Linked DNA regions of Neodiprion lecontei. The protein of the gene in region 1 purifies or fractionates together with the protein of each later gene. This does not show direct contact. Links are inferred from orthologs where the notes say so. Each region holds a gene or a part of one and is shown on either strand. Other genes may lie near its edges.

What was found. Proteins that work in one complex are often made in the same cells at the same time.
Region 2: the proteins of transcription elongation factor B polypeptide 3 (region 1) and another transcription unit protein purify together in Homo sapiens (affinity purification with mass spectrometry; 3 studies listed by BioGRID and IntAct, with this or other methods). This does not show direct contact. The link is inferred for Neodiprion lecontei from reciprocal best matches to the Homo sapiens genes ELOA and LEO1.

Annotation. Positions count from the first base shown.
Region 1 is NC_060263.1:9,216,613-9,221,455, forward strand, and holds the start of transcription elongation factor B polypeptide 3, read right to left. Parts: upstream 3,007-4,843; 5' UTR 2,516-3,006; coding exon 2,447-2,515; intron 530-2,446; coding exon 225-529; intron 1-224. UniProt on the Homo sapiens protein: SIII, also known as elongin, is a general transcription elongation factor that increases the RNA polymerase II transcription elongation past template-encoded arresting sites.
Region 2 is NC_060265.1:27,024,343-27,030,655, forward strand, and holds another transcription unit protein, read left to right. Parts: upstream 1-1,613; 5' UTR 1,614-1,820; coding exon 1,821-1,866; intron 1,867-1,983; exon of another isoform or gene 1,984-2,053; coding exon of another isoform or gene 2,054-2,078; intron 2,079-2,198; coding exon 2,199-3,236; intron 3,237-3,321; coding exon 3,322-3,710; intron 3,711-3,836; coding exon 3,837-4,427; intron 4,428-4,562; coding exon 4,563-4,767; intron 4,768-4,861; coding exon 4,862-5,040; 3' UTR 5,041-5,799; downstream 5,800-6,313. Other genes in the region: tight junction protein ZO-1, read right to left, coding at 945-1,233. UniProt on the Homo sapiens protein: Component of the PAF1 complex (PAF1C) which has multiple functions during transcription by RNA polymerase II and is implicated in regulation of development and maintenance of embryonic stem cell pluripotency.

The DNA.
Region 1 (4,843 bases):
AAAATATTTAAACAGTTACCTACCTGTTTGAAAAATATGCATACTGCAGATAATTTAAGATGAAGGTAGCAGTGAGCGTATGAAATTACTTGAAACTTGATGCAGTTAAAAAATAATAATGATTTTATTGAAACATTCTATGAACATTATTTAAGTATTACGTATCATTGCACGGTAATTAAATTCAACACCTAAATGGTCTTACTATTATATTGCCCATATACCTTGATTCTTTCCTATTATCATCTCTGTCGTCGCTACTATCCTTATCGTTTTTTCTAGAATGTGAGTTGTTGCCATAGTCATCTGGAGGCTCGGATATGTTCGCCTCGTCGTCTGTTGCTCCTTCTCCATCGCTGGATTCCTCATCAGCGACCATTGTCTTCCATTTGGCTACCAAAGCTTTGGCAGCATCACCAACATCCCCAACATATTTTCGCAGGCCATTCACTGTCCTACCAACTCCTGTCTCTTGTAAATGCTGCACGGTAACTGGCAATCTGTACAGCTTCCCAATGCAGTAAAGCATCTGTTAAGAAAATCATGCCATGAAACTTACAAAGACTCCAGAAGCATCTCTTGTAGTTACAGTTTTTCAAATTATTGTAAATGTAGTAAGTGGTTATAGCTGCGTGGCAATACAGTAAAATACTTCTCATGCTAATAAATTATAAGTATACAAAGTTATTATTACTTTGTGTGTAGAGACTATGAAGCATAAAGCAGATTTTCCTGAGAAAAACTAATTATATTTATTTATGATTAGGACACACATTTTTCTTATAATTTTCTTAAATTTTTTAGTTCTTTAGACCAGGTCTACATGTCAATGCCTCTGAATATATATACTGAAAATATGTCTCTTTTGGTACACTAATTATACCAAAAACTGAGGAAGAAAATGACATTACATTTTGCTGAAACTCGATTGGTTTATAGTCATGCCAAACGATTTGATTTTTCAAAAGATCAATTAGAAAATACGGATTACGGGAATCACTCATTCAAATTTTTTTAAGGTCTTCAAGCGATAAATTCTTTGCTGTGAGAAATTCAGAAAGTAGACGTTTCTGTGATTCAGATTCTTTCACAGATATTTCTGAAATAACCGAGATTCCAGCGAAGTGAAAAAAATATTCCAACACGTGTTTTTGCAAAATATTAAGAAGGTTTTTACCCATATTTTTTTAAAATGGAATTTTTCTTAACAAGTACTGAGTATTTGATCTTTGCTATAAGTTAGCACCACTTGTATTTAGAAAAAATGATAATATTTGGTAGAGAAATAGAAACTTATTATCTCCTCTCGATTCTTTTCTTTACAGAATGTAGATAATAATTTTAAAATGAATTATCGCTACACTCACAATTAAACAAAGTTCAAGGTTCGTTGGAGTATTTAAGAATATTATTTTGAAAGAAACTATTAAAATTTGGAATCATAACATTTTATAGGAAAATATTGATGATCCGAGCTTTATTTTCATGTAAAATTTGAAAAAATGAATCATTTTCAGTTTCACCTACCCATAAGATAATAAATGATTGAGACGATAAAGCTGAAAATCAAATAAAATGGACCGAATTAGATCGTACGTAATTGATTTAATTCTGATGTCAAATTTTATTCATTCATGACCAACTACTTATAAGGATATCTGTTTTATCACTTTCAAATTGTAGGATGATTTGAGTCAGATTCATTACCTATATTTGTTCCTATTCAATCATGTTAATACAATTTGACACATAGAATGAAACTAATTTTAAGAACGGGAAGTCAATTCATCCTAATTAAGAGTTGTTTTGCTTTCATTACATCTCGACTTTGTTGAGAATAGTTAGTCTATGAAATATCGTTGACCCACAAATATCTTATTTTCCAAAATCCATTTTGTTATAAATATGCCAATAGTATATTCTTGTGACCAATAATCAAGGTGCATAAAATTATGCCGTTAATTCAATCCTGCAAATGCAATGTCAAGTTTTATCTCAAAACCTGTTTCATTTATAACAAAAATTAATCTTATTGCAACTATATGCTGATTTTAATCCTAATTTCAATAAAATTAATAGAAGTCTCGACTCTCAATCTAATCACATTAGTGGTGAATTACAATTGCAACAGATAAATTGGAGCAAATCTGAGAAGCAGCAACATATATGCCAGATGGTAACAATAAGGATTACATGACATGATGAATACCGCGATACGTCAAATCAATTTGAGTAAAAGAAGACAAAATTCGCTAGCAGCTCCAAAAGTTAATTGCCAAACTGCTGGAACTGCTGCAGCAGTGACATTGACAAATTACATCATTTAGCGATTTCATATGATTTTTAGGTTATGTCGATCAGATTACAAGGGGCGGAAAATTTGTCGGTGAGGAAGTGGCTTGTGTTAGCATGATATAAATGTAATATTTTTGGAGCGGCTACCCACCCTTTCTTCGTTTCCTGAACATTTTTCTATACTTCGTTGATAATGCTGAATTATTTCTGCAACAGACATGTTGCCAATGCCAGCTGTTGGACCACTGAGGTCAAAACTGAAGATGGCCTGGTTCACCGATTTGTGAAATTTCGATGAATTTCTTATGATTCCAGAACACGAGGACAATCTAACATATATTGTGCAAGTTCTATCTGCCTGATTAACTTGGCAAAAATGTTTACGAGTTTTTCATAGCGAGCTAACCATATTCACTATCAAGCCAATTATTTTATCAAGTGAGAGCATTTGTTTTTTCGAATATTATCGATGTTGATAATTGGAGATTTATTTTAATTTTTGAAGGGCGATGTTGTCATATTTATTTCGTTAGATCTTTTTATTTCTTGTGTATTTTTTTATAAACAGTTGAACTGAGTTTGTCGCGAGACCGTAGTTATGGTTCGCGTGAAGGTTAACAACAGTTCGAAGTTTGGTTTCAAGCACGAAGAAATTTTGTTAAAATCTTTTACTCAGTTCTCAACGCCATGAAGGCCACTTCTCAAGTGAACCGTGCGATCTAGAGATTTTTCGGGTCCTACATGGGGAGCTTTCCAGCAGCGACACAGAGCGACATTGTGTCGAACATAGTGCTTTCCAACAATGACACAGAACGACACAGTCGGACACAGCTGCGGAGCAGAGAAAAACCTGTTGGACACTGTGTCGGATTCATTGCTGCCAATTTTTTAGTTGGAGATTTTATTTTCAACGCATGGTATTGTTTGTATTTATTTATTAAATGCAATGATAATCTACATGCGTTCACAAATGTTTTTTTTTCCTGGAGCGCTCAGTGTTTCTAGATTTTTCGTCTAATGCATTAGCGGACTCTAGTGACTGAATTAAGAACCTCAAAGCGTTCCAACAAGCACCAAGGCACATTGTTCGACCGTGTAACACAGTGTCACACTGTGTCTCCTTGCTAGAAAGCTCCCATGGGCTATTCGTATTTCACAGTTTTACGAAATTACAGTCACGGTAGTATATACAGGTCACGAAACTCTGGCGGAGGGGCGGGGGCGGGTCTCTTACTAGGGTGCGTTCCGAAACTAGCTGTCAGGGGTAATAACTCCCTAAGACAGAGACCAAGTTACCCACGAACTAGGCACTGCAAAAGAGATAAAAGATCGATGATAGCACCTCGAGCTAATCTCGGAATGCATGAGTGTCGGAAACCTACCACAAGTACGGAGGGGTATATAAGGGAGTACTATTAGGTGCATTCCAATATTTGCTCCAGTGCTGTCAACAATCTTTCACTTATTTTACGCTACCGAGTTCGTGGGCAGCTTTGCCTCTGTCCCAGGGAGTTTTTAGCGCTGCCAGCTAATTTCGAAACGCGCCCCTATTAGTAGCAGTGTCCTTGACACTACTCGATTGCAGCGCTCTAACTTCAGTGGCCAATATCTGAAACTTGAGCTTCTATTGAGACGCACACCTACCAAGGGAGCCAAGGGAGTTTTCGCACTTGTATATACGACCGTGATTGCAGTGTAACCAGGAAGTACTTATTTTATGAGTGTAGCATCCCATCAGAATGTTTCACCATCTCTCTATTATAATGTGTTAACAAAATAGTATACCTTTAAGCTTGGCACGAGAATCATGAGATGAAAATGAAGTAAGGTATTTTATGTAATTGTAAGATTAATTATCTTGAGAAGCGATCGGTCGTGAGTAAACTTTGTTCACCTGAGTTTTATTCTTCTAATAATATTAATACCACAATTGACTAACACTCAGAATACCCAACTCTAGGTGTAATATTATCTAATAACACCATTTGTGAAATACGGAGAATAGAGCCGTATTATAGGCAACTTTGATTACACTGCATAACCTTGAAGATAAGACCATGCTGCAATTCAACAAGAGCGTTAGTTTAGTTCACAGGATAAAGTATAAAAATGCTAAAGTATATTGCTATTATGGTCTATATATGAATCTAGTTAGATAAGTAACTGCGAACTTTCGAAAACCGCTACACAAATCAACCAATATAAATTATAGAACTGTCATCAAAACGCCGTATTATAGGCAATATATGCTCACAAGCCATTGATTTCTAAATTAATTGGATAGTGGACTGCACGAAGTAGACTGGCTACGCTGCCGAGTGGACCCAATTGATCAGAGCCATTTGCAATTTTTACGGGTCCGTTTCGAAGCGGGCAATTCGAATTTAAAGCTAACCATTTTCACACGTGAATAAGTTAACAAATTGAGGTAAATGGTAAAGCTTAGTGCCTAATACTAGGAAAAAAGTCATTAAATTAATAAAAATGGTGAAGTGCTCATACCGTTGACTGAAGTCAACGCTCATACTGTGGGAAAAGTTCGAGCCGA
Region 2 (6,313 bases), on another chromosome or scaffold:
GGAAAACCGTCGTTACACGATTTTGGAATTGCTTGAGATTCGGTAAACTGTAATAAAACAAAACATACTCGTATTTTGAAATCTTAGTTCCTTAAAAGGCATTGCAAAAATAAGAAAACAGTGATTTTTCCACGATGTTTCGTTACGACAACACGGTACGAACTTCAATCTCGCGTTCCTTTTAGATTCCTTTTCCATGCGATCGGCATTTCTACCTCCTCGGATACAAGAGTGTAGTCTTTAAAAAAAAAAAACCCTAACAAAACCACGTAACTAAATTACTGTAAACGAACCGAGTTACGGTAGGTGAAATAAATTTCGTCGAGTGGGTAGAAATATTTGGAATCGAAGACAACGCGGAGTCTTGTCCTCGAGTGAAAGTGATTTGAGTGAGGGAAAACACATGGCTTGTATCAATCGGCGCCTCCGCATATTATAAACTTGTCTAGGAAGTAGGAACTAGTACTTATGCCTTACGAAAATTCATAGTAGACCGTACGACGTTTACCACTGTTATTATTTATACCGTGCAAATTTCCTACCCAGGCATTAATTAAAGGCTCGCGGACGAAGTTCTCTTACATCACGGTTGAACAAATAATTATGCATCTCAATCTTTAATCTCGATCGGTATCCGCCTAAGTAGGTACTCACGTCCAGGTAAACGGGGCCGGTATTTACCGCGATTATTCATAATATTCATCACCACTTCGCGGTGATGAAACAACCCTGAGAGCTGTTGCTCCAATCGCCATTTGATCTCGGTAATTAAGACGCTCTCGAAACAAACTCCCTCAAACGTTGCAATTAATTATCGGCAGATATAAACCTGGGGTGAAATTCATGATATTCACCACTTTGGTTTGTTCGAAAATTTCGAAGAACAACGAAAGAATACGAAGAATCCCCTCTTCACGAATGAGCAAACTCGTAAATGGACTCACCGGTGATGCTGTGTTGATCGACAAGCAGATCCGTCAAGACGTGAGGGCATTCGGCTTCGAGGGCGAAGCAGAATTCCCGAAAGGCATCGAAACCCTTGGCGCTGATAAGGCCTATCAGCAAATCGATGTCCAAGTGCTCACCCCCGCGACGAGCGATCGCCTCGCGATCCGATTCGGCAATCACACCCTGCTTGACGAGCACACCGAGTAAATTTGTGACATTCAGCTCCCTGAGCAGCGCGGATTTGTGTCTCGACAATAATATCCTCACTTCCGCGGAGCCCGCCATGCTCACAGCGCGACGGCGTCAAGCGTCTATCGAGCAACAGGTGTCACGGGCAGTTTAGTTCCCTCTCGCTCTCTCTCTCTTTCAACTCCGGCACGACTCTCGTTCAAAAACTTCTCGCCAAACTCGATTGCGATCCGCCAGAGCGCCGGCTGCTAACCGACACACGCGCACTACAGCTGGTAGAAGGCGAACTAACGAACTTGTACTGAACTACGTACAGAGAATGATAGAACCCGTTGTTGTGTGCGTGCGGAGCACACAAGACGCCATTTTTGAATTGCGCCATCTCTTCGCCGAGTCGCGAACTGCGATTCGAACTGCACCAAAAATCCGCATGTAACGTTGATTAATACGATGCATGACCTGCATTTCATACTCATCTCTGTATGTAGCGTAATTTTTCGAATGGTTTCTCTGGGCGGGTTTGAGGATAATTCAACGAGCCAACACTTACTGATTCGTCTTATGGGATGCCGGTGGAATATAGAGTCGGTATAGCAGAATACTGCAATTTTTCTCCCGTCGTTCGGAGTCCCTTACCGTGCCGCCACAGTCAACTTATCACAACGTATGTGATTTGGTAAAACATGTCACCCGCACGAGATGTACTACGAGGCTCCAGCGGTGATTCCGGTGAGTTTGAGAGTAAATGATAGTTAGTAGCGGAATAAGTGAAGTGTTTACGCATGGTTGATGCTTCCCGATAAATACTTATATCAGATTTCCCTTTTTCTTGGTTACTTTTTCCAGACGATCTATCGTTTCTGAGGTTATATTCACCAATAACATCCGGTCAGATTAGCGTTTTAAACGTACAACTATGCAGGCTTTCACATTTTCAATACGTATGTTACAAAGCGTGAATTTAATTCGAACTCACGATTTAAAAGTTGAAGTTCTATATCAATCAAAAAGTCTTTTTCACTTCGAACACCGGTTAAACACCATGAGTGTTTTTCTTGAAGGTTCCGACTCGGAGAGCGCCTCAGGATCGAGCGCATCTAGCCGTAGCGGGAGTCCAATGTCCCACGGTCCTGTGCCGACTCCCGGCCGGCGAAGTAGCGATCATTCCGAGAATGAGAACGAAGGACCAGCCTCACCAGATTCGATAAGGTCTCCTAGTAGTCCAAAGTCGGACAGGAGTCGGTCTAACGCATCGAATAGATCTCGAAGCCGATCCCCTAGTGCCAATAAATCAATTGCAAGCCCAACTTCACACAGATCAGCTAGCGGATCTAGACATTCCAGTCCAGGATCACCAAGGTCACGTCGCTCTGGAAGTGGATCGCCGCAAACGGTGCGATCTCCAAGCCCTGAATCACAGAGGTCAGGGAGATCCAGGTCAAATTCACTGCAAGGAAGCGTGAGATCAGAAAGTCCAAAGTCTCCTGCCAGCCGTAGGTCTAGGTCAAGATCGCAAAGTCAAAAATCCAAAACTCCAAATTCCCCTCAGTCTAACAGAGCTAGCAGATCGAGATCTGCGAGTCCTGCTTCCCCGAGAAGCAATAAGTCTGGTTCTCCTAAGAGTCGGAGGTCCGGTAGTCAGACTTCACACACAAGCAGAAGATCGGGGTCACCTGGATCGCCAAAAAGCCGCAGGTCTGCCAGTGGGTCGCCTAAAACAAACAGATCTGTTAGTGGATCACCTAAAACCAACAGATCTGGTAGCGGCTCACCTAAAACTGTTAGATCTGCTAGCGGATCTCCAAAAACAAATAGATCTGCTAGCGGATCACCTAAAACAAATAGATCTGTAAGTGGATCACCTAAAACAAATAGATCTGCAAGTGGATCACCTAAGACCAATAGGTCGCGCAGTGCTTCACCAGCCAGCCGCAGGTCTGCGAGTGCCAGTTCTCGTAGAAGCAATAAATCCAGATCTCGTAGTCCAGAAAGTCCAAAAACTGATGGAAGTCCACGTTCGAGAAAATCTAAAAGCAAATCACAGAGTCCTAAGGCTACTGGAAGCGATGCTGAGTCAGAAAAATCACTAAAAATTGCAGGTAGGCGTATCCATTCATCTTTGCAACATCGCACGAATATGTTCTCTGCTTTCAACTCTTTTCTACCACTTTTTTTAACTTGCAGCTGATGCAGATGACGAAGTAGCGAAACGCAAACGACAGACTGACAGTGGTTCTGGATCTGAAAAAGTAATCAAGAAACTAAGAGGACTTATCGATTCAGATTCTGAAGAGGAGCAACCTGTTGGAGAAAAAACAGACGATGTTGAGCCCACAGCTGACGCTCTCTTTGGAGATGCAAGTGATATTAGTACTGACGATGAGAAGGATAAGGAAGAAGAAGGAGACGGAGAAGCAGACACAACAGCAAGAAAAAGCAAAAGCAAAAGTAGGAGCAGGAGTAGAAGTAGGAGCCGGAGTAAAAGTCGAAGTAAAAGTCGGAGTAGGAGTAGAAGTAGAGGGAGATCGGACAGTGGCGGAGAAGGACCTAGTCACAGGGTTTTAATTGAAGATGTAAGTAACTAAATTATTTTCTATTTTAAATTAAATTGATTGAAAGTAGAGAACTTTACTGTTTTCCAGATATTATTTTATGGGAAATTGTAATTTGTCTAAAAAAATATGTATTTAAATTTGAAGGACGAGGAGAAAGAAAAAGAAGACGAACCAGAGCCGCCACCAGAGACGCGAATCGACGTAGAAATACCAAAAATCACAACAGATTTAGGACGCGAAATACATTTTGTAAAATTACCGAACTTTTTGTCCGTTGAAACGCGACCATTCGACCATGAGACTTATGAGGATGAAATTGACGAGGAGGAAACATTGGATGAGGAGGGAAGAGCAAGGCTCAAATTGAAAGTCGAGAATACCATAAGATGGCGAGAGGTTTTCAACGAGGAAGGAAAAGCAGTGAAAGAAAGTAACGCCAGATTTATAAAATGGTCCGATGGAAGTATGTCATTGCATCTGGGCTCAGAAATATTCGACGTCTACAGACAACCGCTTCAAGGCGATCACAATCATCTCTATATTCGACAAGGTACCGGTCTTCAAGGACAAGCGGTATTCAGAACAAAACTCGGATTCCGACCTCACTCAACAGAGTCATTTACACACAGGAAAATGACCATGTCTTTGGCAGATCGTTCGCAAAAGACTACAGGCATCAAAGTATTGTCGCAAGTTGGAATGAATCCCGATCAAAACAGATACGAAATGATAAAGGTTTGTGAATCGATGTTATCTAAATCATTTCTTTGCATTTCAATACCTTTCACAGTTGAAAGAAATTAACGAACATGATTTATAGAGGGTACTCACTCCTAATTTAATTTTCTTCTACTTCCCTTTACCGTTCAGAAAGAAGAAGAAAAATTGCGAATGGCAATGCGAGCACAGAGTAAAAATAAAAAACCAAGCGGAAATAGCAGAAGCGCGGGTCGGGCATCCGGCAGTTACGGAGCGGAAGCTTATCACGATGATGGATCTGATGACGAGGGTGCAATTTCACTGGCAGCCATCAAAAACAAGTACAAAAAGGGCGCCGCTGCACTTGCAGCCAAATGTGAGTTGAAGTTTCAATGTTATGTATTCAGATATTTGGCAAAAATCTCTCTCCACGTGTGTAACGAATTTGAATTAATTTTCAACCGTTCTAGCTGCCTCGAATATTTATTCGTCTGACGAAGAAGGGTCAGACTTCGAGGGTACGCGATCCAAAAAGTATCACAAGGGTAAAGTTCTCAAGGATTCGGATGAAGATTCAAATTCGGGATCTGGGAGTGGATCGGTAAGCGGCGGAGGTGGTGATGATGGCGCCGACGCCGCGAGTGACTAGGAGTAATTCGTAGTTTGACAATATAAGATAAGACAAAAAATGTTGTAAATATGAATCGAGAAAAATGTTGACGAGGAACCGTTCAATGGAACGCAAAATCCAATATCCCGTAGCTGTTTTGTATGGGTCCCCATGAGACAGATCATATTTTATTTCTTATTACGAGTTACAGTCATGATTATATTGACATTATTATTGAAATTAAGATTATTTTCATTATCATTATGAACTAGAAATACATTACTCATTACTTGTAATCACAAAACGCAATTAAATATAGTATCATTAAAAATCATTATACAGTCTATTAATATTGCCTTAATCTTGTTCATTGCAGTTATTTTTTTCTATTTTTTTTTTTTTTACATAGTTACTTCCGCTGGCGAAAAATAGGTAGGTTTAGCCGGTTTAGCATCTCTTTTGCTGTCAAAATTCACGATGATCACGCTGATGTTTATACAGATTTTCAATCTGCGATTTGAATAGGTTGAAAATCTGTGCAGTTTATTACACGCAACATTTTTTTGCCTACAATTTCTTTTATCTTTTATTTACTTTCATCATTCCTACGAATTTAATAGCTAATAATGTATCATGTATTTCGACATTGTGACATAGATACTGTATTATTTGTCATAAAAACCAGAGAAGCACGAATTATGTCATAGTTCTTTACAATTTTAGTCGAGCGACAAATTTGAATTGCGGAATTAGGTATGTTCAAGCTACCGTACTACAAATTTGCAAATGTGCAATATACGCGCGATGCAAAAATATGTATGTGGCGAAAGAAGGGAATTCCCGTTTCATTTAATATCCTAACATAGTCTAAAACTGGTAATGGTTGATTTCAAACTGTCGGGGGACGTCACTCTAATGACTTGAAGAGAACTTAAACTGTAGATTATTTCTACGATCCTTTTGAAATAAAAATAAAATAAATAATCATAATCTTTAAAAACGAAATCTAAATTTATAAATTCTGTTTGAAACCAACAAGGAGACAAGTGTTTTTGCATTATACTTAGTTATTGATAAATATTCGATAAAACTTTCGGAATATATAAGAGAGAAGTTAGCCTCGGGCGATAAATTCAATAAGACTAAAATATGGAAGTTTTATGATCAATGCATAGCACCATAACGAAGCCTGGCAATAATTGGAATAGATTATTCAACTTTTGGCAGAAAGTTAAATAATCCGGCAGTATAAGCTGTTACGCGTTGTTAACGTCAACTTATCCGGAAGACTAACCTGGCTATTAACTAATTA